3 linked regions of the Canis lupus familiaris genome follow. The protein of the gene in region 1 purifies or fractionates together with the protein of each later gene. This does not show direct contact. Links are inferred from orthologs where the notes say so. Each region holds a gene or a part of one and is shown on either strand. Other genes may lie near its edges.

The links.
Region 2: the proteins of ARPC5L (region 1) and ARPC3 purify together in Homo sapiens (affinity purification with mass spectrometry; 7 studies listed by BioGRID and IntAct, counting the BioPlex papers as one, with this or other methods). This does not show direct contact. The link is inferred for Canis lupus familiaris from reciprocal best matches to the Homo sapiens genes ARPC5L and ARPC3.
Region 3: the proteins of ARPC5L (region 1) and ACTR3 purify together in Homo sapiens (affinity purification with mass spectrometry; 6 studies listed by BioGRID and IntAct, counting the BioPlex papers as one, with this or other methods). This does not show direct contact. The link is inferred for Canis lupus familiaris from reciprocal best matches to the Homo sapiens genes ARPC5L and ACTR3.

What each region holds. Positions count from the first base shown.
Region 1 is NC_049230.1:58,227,388-58,229,939, forward strand, and holds the end of ARPC5L (actin-related protein 2/3 complex subunit 5-like protein), read right to left. Parts: coding exon 2,427-2,552; intron 1,150-2,426; coding exon 1,087-1,149; 3' UTR 604-1,086; downstream 1-603. UniProt on the Homo sapiens protein: May function as component of the Arp2/3 complex which is involved in regulation of actin polymerization and together with an activating nucleation-promoting factor (NPF) mediates the formation of branched actin networks.
Region 2 is NC_049247.1:8,502,038-8,505,695, forward strand, and holds part of ARPC3 (actin-related protein 2/3 complex subunit 3), read right to left. Parts: intron 3,135-3,658; coding exon 3,035-3,134; intron 729-3,034; coding exon 610-728; intron 1-609. UniProt on the Homo sapiens protein: Component of the Arp2/3 complex, a multiprotein complex that mediates actin polymerization upon stimulation by nucleation-promoting factor (NPF).
Region 3 is NC_049240.1:36,560,964-36,564,350, forward strand, and holds the end of ACTR3 (actin-related protein 3), read right to left. Parts: intron 3,141-3,387; coding exon 3,057-3,140; intron 1,786-3,056; coding exon 1,690-1,785; 3' UTR 549-1,689; downstream 1-548. UniProt on the Homo sapiens protein: ATP-binding component of the Arp2/3 complex, a multiprotein complex that mediates actin polymerization upon stimulation by nucleation-promoting factor (NPF).

The sequences.
Region 1 (2,552 bases):
ATGGGGCTCCCTGTGGGGAGCCTGCTTCTCCCTCTGCCTGTGTCTCTGCCCCTCTCTCTCTCTCTCTCATGAATAAATAAATAAAATCTTAAAAAAAAAAAAAAAGGATGCAAAGTGCAGTTCCATGTGCTGAAAAGGTCAGAAAAACATCTTTGCTCTTCAGAGAAGCTGGCTGTTGGTGGCTAGAAAACACAATGTTTCTTCTGTATTTAAACTTGTCAGCGTCTCGGTAAGTGTTCCTGCCACACAGCCCAAGCCAGGGCCAGGAGATGGTGACCACACCCTTCTGGGGTACACTTCCAAAAGATACCAAGTGTAGTCACACAGACTAAAGACTTTTAAAGCCTAGATCAATTATTGAATGTTTGGCACTTTATTAAATAAGCTCCAAAATTACATAGAAATCAAAGGAGTAAAACCAAAAGTTACTTGGCAAAATCTGTCTGCTTAGCAGCCAGTAGCACTGCGCCCACGCCTGAGGTACTGGTGCGGTAGGAGGGCGGTGGGACGCTCCACAGGGGCACATCCACCCCCCACATCAGTTTCTCACTCAGCACCATCCGGTTCAGTACTCACTTTACATACAGGAAACACACCACGGAGTACATACTAATAAGCCAAGAGCTTTATTGATGCAGCAGGCACTTTACAATGAACCCAAGAGAGCCCGTCTTCTCTGGGAAAACGGGATGTCTGTACAAACCCTCAGTTTTACTACTTCAAAAAAAACAAGCTCTCCCTTTTACCACAGCCCTTGGATCTGTATGTGCCCGATCATCCCTCCCCCATTTGAAATAGGCAGAGCACACAGGTACCCCGACCAACGCTGGCCAGCCACTCCAGGAGACAGTTACGATGTCAGTTCTGTGTTACTCATGGACAAAGGCATAGACTATCAGATCCTGCAAAGGATTTAGGAAACAATTTCTCCCTCCACCTTGAAAATAAAATACACTTCAGCGGATGCATGTCCTGAAATAGTTTAGTTGGGAGTTCCTAGGAAGATGGTCCATTGTCAATCCCTTCTTCATCAGCCTGTGCATCCAAAATTCTTCTCAAGGGAACATGAGTCCTTTTTTTTTTTTTTTAAACAGTCTTTCTTGCTGTAAGAACTCTTATAATGGAGCCTAGTCCTCCTACTGCTAATGCCTGTGGGGGCAGGAAAAGGAAAGGAGTCAAATGAAACCTGGCTAGCCAAGGGGTAGCCCGGCTTGCCAGGGGAGATGGGACTGGCACCCCCGGACCTAGGTCCCACCATGTCACCGATCCTCTGGAAATGGGTTCCTGCAAGAGCAGTTAGGAGGTAGCAAGAGAGCCCACATCCTAAGCACGGAGCTGGAGCCAAGGCTCCTGAAGTGCTGCTGGCTCCCAGCAGCAGAACTGGGCTTGGGAACATGGTTACCAAGCGCACACACACACAGCACAGCTCCCCCCAAGCCTCCCTTCTGACGCTGTTTCCAGGCTGCCCTCACTACCCTGGACACTTAAGATATGAGCCCATTCCAGCTGCCTCCCCAGGCCCTCCTTAGAAACGTCAGTGGGGCTCAGCACCAGGGACCACAGGGTCTGGCCTCCACACCATGCAGAGGGCTTGCTCAGTTCCGAGTAGCACAGCCACCACACCCTCCCCAAGCCCAGGAGAGTTCACCTTCCGGCTGAGCAGGCCCAGCACACCCAGCAACAGGACCAGAGGCCACCAGAAGAGCCTAGCACCGAGGCTGCCCAAGTGGCTGACCCCTCAAAACTCAACAGAGCCTTCTGGAAGGACGCAGTGTTAGTACTAGCCTGGTCTGCTATAATGATGAGCAAGCTTCCTGTACCTCTACAGGGCCGGGGGACGTTGGCACACAGGCAGGACACAGGCTAGATGAAATGCCTTGCTCTTGTATCGACCTGAGCAAAGGACAGGCACAGCTTTTTGTGCCTCAGGTGGCTGAAGGCCCTATTCGGTGAAAGCCAGGCTTCTGCCACTGCCTGCTTGGCCTAGTGAGGATGAGGCCAGAGCAGGAAGCTCCCAGCGGCAGCTGGGGGCTCAGCCTGCGTTCCTGAGACCCTCCCCAACCACCATCTCCACCAACGGGAAGCAGCTGCCTTCGCTGACGCAAAGAGAGTATTCTGAAGCCCCAGCCACAAGCAAGCCTGCCTCCCTCCCACCTGGGACTCCCTGTCTATCTCACCATGCAAGTCACCTGTGCCCATGACACGCCTGGCATAAATCAGCAGCTAAAGCAATTCCAATTACCAAAGCCAGTGAACCCTACCAGGTGCTTCTATGGAAGAAGTGAGTGGCCAGAGTCGTCCTACACTGCTGTTCGTGGAGCCCCTTACTCTCTCATGCCTCTCAGACTGTCCTCTGGCCTGCGCACGTGAACCCCAGGGTGGGGGCAAGTCAGCAGGCCACCCGTGTGGGCGGTGCATTCACATACCTTTTCGTGCCACTGGAGTAGCACAGCGCTGCTGTTTTCTGTGGGCTTCTCAAACCCTTTATAAATGTACTTCATTAGCAAGTCAATGCCGTTTCTGTCCAGCGACTGCACAGCCTGCTCAATCTC
Region 2 (3,658 bases), on another chromosome or scaffold:
TTTGTCACAACTATTCAATCCAGCTGCTGTGGCATGAAACCAGTCATAGACACTATGATAAAAAATGAATGTGGCTGTGTTCCAATAAAACTTTATTCATAAATGCTCTACATGCAGCTCCCCCTGATCATACTCTCTTAACAACAATAACAACAAAAAGAGGCAGTGGGCCAGATTTGGCTCTCAGGCTGTAGTTTGTTGACCCATGGTATAGACTTTGGAGGAAAAACGAGAAACTAATACTGAGTCTAATATTAGGCACTATTCTGGTTTTAAATTTTTTTAAATTTTATTTATTTTTTATTTGAGAGAGAGAGAGCACAGAGTATAAGTAGGGAGGGGAGGGAAAGGGGCAGAACGAGAGGGAAAAAGACTCTCTGCTCAGCCCAGAACCAGATGTGGGACTTGATCCCAGGAACCCAGGATCATGACCTGAGTCGATGGCAGATACTTTACCAACTGAGCCACTCAGGTGCCCCACTATTCTCATTTTTTAAAGTCATACAATCTCATTCAATTTTATTTATTCTTCAGAACAACCCTGACTACCAGGTAGCTTATTATCCACACCAGAAAACTAAATTAAATATTAAAAGCTCTGTACTTTACCTTAATCTCATAGTTTTTGAAGAAGACATTGGCCTTGAAGTAATAAATGGCTTCATCCACAATATCTGTATCTTTTGCTAAACAGGACCGAAGAGGGGGGTGGAGGCAGAGAACATGAGCTAAAATATAACAATAACACTTAAAAAAGCTAGAGAGTAAACTTCCCAGCTCCATGGTCAAAGGAGTTGAGTTCCATAAAATGAGGCCACTGAAATATAATGTCTTTAGAAACAATATCTAGAAAAATAAGGATATGGTTTATTCTGATAGCTTTATTGTTTTTATAAAAAAATATTCTCATTAGGAACAAATTAACCAGTACCAAAAAACATTTTATTGTCACTCTAAATCTCACTACCTAGAAATAACTACTATTATCATTTGGTGAACATCATTCCAGACATTGAGAGATGTCTCAATGTTCATTTATAAAAATGAACTTAGGCATAGACTAAACCTTGATAAGATGCTGTTTAAATAAAAAGTATTCAATCTAATTCTATTTGAATTTATATTCTATGGTTTCAGGCGGAAAAAAACCCTCAACTATCATTTAGGAACACACTGGGCTTACACATACATCTTTCTTTTTATGAAAACCGTGCTTAAAATATACTTGTACATGCTGTTCTAGGTGGCGAGAGACTGAGAAAAGCCAGAAATGCTGTTGTGACAAAGACAGATCTCATTATACAATTTCTTTGGCAGGTTTTTGTTTTCCTTTTCTTATTTTAAAAAGGTCAAAATCCCAGGGTCTTGATATCCAGCAGCCGGTTGCAGCAATGCAGAGACAGTTTTTTGGTGGTCTTTTTTTTTTTTTTTTTTCCAGAGTTATTTATATTGTCCAATGACTGCTCTCCCTCTCACACAGAAGAAATGCAAAGTAATCCTGGAGGTTTAGTACTCTGTGATTCAGCTGTCTTTAACCCTACTCATTCCCCTGCTAAAGAACGCAACAGAATTCTAACTCTAGACTCCTGTTCTTGCAATTTTCTTATGTGCAAAAAGGAAACTTCCTCAGAAGATTCCATATTGTTTATAAAACCAGCTAGTTCTTCTAAATGTAACAATGTGGGGGTGGGGGGTGAGGAACGGGGCGGGGGTGGGCTACAAGATTCAGAACCTAGAAGGGTGTTTGGCACAGAAAGGTGCTCAAAAGGTGTCTGATGAATGTAAAGAAATGAATTTGATTAATGCTAACAGTTATTTTGCTCACAGCATAGGCCTGTACTCTTTCATAATTCCAGTTCAGTTCCAATCCTGTCCACTGGGAAAGAATAACAGGTCATTCTCTGTCTACAGAAACCATGTCCATCTGGTTTCTTGGGGTCCTGCTCTCCCTCAAGGGCCCACGAGTTGTTGCGAAGGTGGTAATTAGATACACTCCATCTCTAGTCAACTGCATCTTCTGATATGCTACATGGTATTTTGTAAAGATCTGAAAAGAGTTCTTCTCAAGGAATCTGGGCCAACATGGATTTTTTTATTCTTTCTTTGCACTGTAATTCTTTTACATTATTTTTCTTCTTTTAAATCTTTTTTTTTTTTCCCATCTGTTCCTTTTTCTTCATCTCAGAATCAAGTAAAAACTGTGGTAACTCACCAAGTTTATTTAGTTTACTGAGCTTTCAACTGGTGTTGAAAATAAACTTAAGGAGAGGTCACGTCAAATAGTCTGGCAGAGGAATGAAGATGGGGTCAGTGCAAATTGCAATGAAAACCTTAAAAACCTTGAATGGAACTCAGTGCAGATGCTTTCTGGATGCAAGGAAGCCATGTCTGCTATAATATAAATTACACTGTTGGTAGAACATCTCAGAATGTATCCAAAGAGTCTAAAAAGAAGGAGGCTTTCTGAACAGTAAGGAAATGTTTCAAAAAAAAGGGGAAGTACTAAAAAAAGAAAAGATATAAAATTCAGAAAAGCAAGAGAAACAATGTGTAATTTTACATAAGACACTTACAACTTAAGATCCAGGTACTGCTGAAAATGAAGATCCTGAAGAATGAATAAAGGAAGTAGATACAGACAGGGGAAGGAGTTAAAATGTCTTCTTTGTTTTCCTCAGCCTTACAACAGAAAAAGGATGGGGACATGGTATCCTACAGAAGTAGTAGCATTAGATCACTTTGTAAGTACTGACAGTGATGACAGAATAATGTCAAAAATAAGTAATATTTCCTCATCCCTCTCAACAAAATATTCAGAAGAACTCAGCAGCATTAATACACTTTCTTACTAGATGCAATGTATACTCCTGATCTTGAAAGGTCTAGAATGCAATATCCACCAAACAAATAGAATATCCAAGAGCAGTCTGAGACAGAGGACTGAGCTAAGAATTTGCCTGATTTGTTAATGTCAGAGAGTTGCTAGATGTTTTCTACTAAAATCTGAGAACAATAGAAAGAAGTTTTGACTTACTCTCTCTAGGGGCGGGTCCTTTGAATTGACTTCTGATAGGCAACAATGCCATGTTTCCAATGAGTTTGGTGTCAGGGTCCATGAGAGAAGAGTGGTAAGCCTGTAGTGGCAAGCCAGGTAAGAATATGGAGACAGAAAGAGAGCAAACATCAGCAGGGCACACAAGAAACATTTCTCTAAAGGGAAAAAGAAGAACCCACCCAAGACTAACCAGGAGGAGGATCAAAGGTTGGTAGCAGCAATACGCTAGAGCTGGCTTTTACTGGCTCAAGAAAACTGAATGTTAAATTTTGAGCAATTATTTTTAAAATATTTTAATTATTTATTCATGAAAGACAGAGAGAGAAAGAGAGAGAGGCAGAGACACAGGCAGAGGGAGAAGCAGGCTCCATGCAGGGAGCCTGATGTGGGACTCGATCCTGGGACTCCAGGATCACGCCCTGGGCTGAAGGCAGGTGCTAAACCGCTGGGCCACCCAGGGATTCCCAATTTTGAGCAATTAAAAAAATTATTTAAATAATCTGCACCCCACATGGGGCTCGAACTCACAACCCGGAGATCAAAAGTTGCATGCTCTTGGGATGCTTGGGTGGCTCAGAGGTTGGGCATCTGCCTTTGGCTTGG
Region 3 (3,387 bases), on another chromosome or scaffold:
TTTTCACTACCTACTCTTTGGTACTGTTTGAATAGTTTTATTGTTTTCTTTTTTACATGTTCATGAACTACTTTTTCAAGTGGGAAAAAAAAAATCTTTGATACCAGCACTACCAGAGGACATATACTTTGTTCTTTAGTTCCACACTCAAAGTTTCACAGAAATGATTAATATAATTTTAAGTATCCTGTTTCATTCTAAATAAAATCTAAAGTTTACTTCCCAATTCTATCTTTATATTAAATACAACAAAGACACTTTGTTCTTTAACGTTTAGATAGAAGTATACTAATCCTATGTGTATTTTCATGGATAATGAAGTTTGAGTGTTCAATGGTATTAATGCTCAAGTTCTAAAAAGCCTATAAAACATCTTCTATTTTATTCTTCTATAAATAACTGGTAAAATTTCAAGTTCATAAGATATTTTCTACCATACACATTATAGAGATTTCAATGAATCCGACAGAAATAGAAATCATATAAAATACATAAACACAAAGTAGAATGACACTGCTTCTAAAAAGAAAAAAAAAAAAAAACATTAGGAAAGGTAATTCAGTTTTAATTTATTTTCATCACTTTTTCTTCATGATCCAGATATTTTAAAATGCAAAGAAAATTAACTTTCCATGATATGTCAGGGACTGGCACTAAAAAAATTTTCAGACTGCAAATGAGTTATACAAATGAAAATATCAAATGGAGATCCAGTTATCAAAATGAAAGCAGTCAACATATTAAAAGTTCACAATTATTTGTTTAGAGCACATAAAAAAGTCAGCTTGCTAACCAACTGTTGTGATTTTAAAGAACTATTGCAGAGGTTTGAAGAAAATAGATTAGTTAACTTATAAAGAGATTGAAGAGCTTGAAACAAGTATTAAAAAGAAATTTGTGCCTTTATTAGAATGGTGTTAGGCTTTAAATATACCAATTTTGGTAATCAAATTATTTATTTTTAATAAGAAATGACACTACAGAACTGCAGTATTGGTCCAACAGTCTTGTCTTTACTTTTCCTTTAAAGCAAGAAACAGGATTCGAGTAATCAGAAGCACTAGCGGGCATCAGTTAATCCAGGATACTAGCTTCTTAGTTCCAAAAGCACTTGCAAAGAAAACCATTGGGGGTACAGGGGGGTGGAAGCCATTTGTAATAACTGGAATCCCATGAGTGTGTGTGTACGCCAAGCCTCATGAGGCTGTTTTTTTTTTTTTTTTTAATTTATCCTTTACTTGGTCACTTGTTTTTCCTCAAATACTAGTTTTTCTTTGACTTTTTCCTCAAAGTATAAAAAGTATGAAATATAAACAAGCTCTTGCATTGCACACTTGGAAGTGTACAACTCAAGCATTATAGAGCTATCTACATACCGATAAATCCCATCAAATCTTGGATAATTCAATAATATACAAAATATTAGGGCACAGAAAGAACTAAAACCCACTTCTTTTTGTTACACATAAGTTTCAAATATTCAGTCTAAAGAAAAACACTTAAATCATTTTGGCTCTCCTCTACATTCACATGTTGATATACTTATTAAAATATTCCTGTATAATTATGTTTGGTCTTCTTATTTCAAGTCAGGTTTAAAACCTCAAAACCAGCCATCCAGACAAAACAGGTAATCAGAAAGATTATTTCTTCCCCACCTCCCTAACCCCAATAATTATGAAATCAATTTTACGACATGACTCCAAACACTGGATTGTGACGACAAATGCTAGGTCCAATTTCTTCATAATCCTTTTTGGTGTGGCACACTTGGTAGAACTCAGGCTGAAAATAAAAACATGTATTTTTATAAAGGTCAAAAACATGCCACCTCTTGATATGCTTTAAAAAATAGATTTGCTAAATCTAAAATGTATATTATTAGCCCACCTCAGTATTTGAACAAAGCTTAAAAATTCTAGCAACCACGACTTAAATCAGCTGTAAATCTTTATCAGAAATTAAAAATAGCATTTAACACATGTCCTAACACACATCACCCTACTTCAGCATGATTCTGAGGATTGAAAACTGATTCTCAGCACCTCAGACTATTCTGCTGAGGTTTTCCCAACCACACTGTATAATAAATCAATACTTCAAAAAAGTAGCAGTAATCTAAAATATAGATAAGGGGCACCTGAGTGGTGGAGTCACTTAAGTGTCCAATTCTTTAGGCTCAGGTCAATGATTTCAGGGTCATGGGATCAAGCCCATGTCAGACACTCTGCTGAGTGCTGAGAAGTCTGCTTCAGAGTCTCTCTCCTTTTACCTCTGCTCCCTCACTCCCTCCCCATGTGCACTCTCTAATAAATAAAATTCTTAAAATAAAATATAAACTCCTCTTAGTCATATACAAAAACTTCTAAATTAACTTGCCTTCCTCACTCAAGGTATAGACATAGGCTTGCTCTCTCTGTTAACTTCTCTCTCAAGAAGCAAATTTACAAACTCATTAGGTTATTTGGCACAAATGGAAGATGAAAACTAAGGAAGAAAATAGCTTTTACCTCCTATTTTTCAATGGTTTTAAAAATATAAGTTTGTACAATTTTCAACAATTCAGATAAAAGCTCCTTCATCTTATTTCCAGGATAAAGCACTGATATTTAATAGGTTTAATACTCTTTTTAAAGGGTTTTAAGATGTTCTGGTTTGGGGAGAGGGCTCTTAGAACAATTCACTTTACTAAACTTTGAACATCAAACTCCCTATGCAATGATCTTAATGTTTTTAAATATTTGCACAGAAAAAACTATGACTTTCTGATATCTGTATCATCACAAGATTGAAAGAATTTTCCCTACAGATAAATTTTAAAACTCTAAATGCTCACTCTAAACTGTCCAGCAATCAAAAAATAAATAAAATTGAAATAACTTCTACTTTTTAAAATACTATGCACATATATACGTATCCAATTTTAAAACTTTCTCATGGTAAATACAGATACAATTTAAAGAAATTTCCCTTGTTCTTCTAAATGGTAGAAGTACTGGTGAATTATTTTATCTGGGAAGAAAAAAATCAAATTTTAAATGTAAGCTTTATCTCACCGTGGAAGCCAGCATCGATCCTCCAAACCAAACTGCATATCGCTGCATGTGATGTGTAATGACTTGTACATCAATAGGTTTTGGCTAAAAATAACATAGTAAGAGCATTTCAACAGTAAATTCAAATAACAATTTCTGTATCATTTAACTTAAATGTATATACTTGAAAATGGAATGTTTCACATATTCAAAAAAAAGTAAATTAGAACTTTAAAAGAGGCAGGATGCACATAAAGAAAACAAGAGAAACAAATTAAGCTAATTTTATTTAAAAAAAAAAAAAAAAGGAACCACCACACTGAGGTGGGAAAAAGGACTAACCCAAGTAACT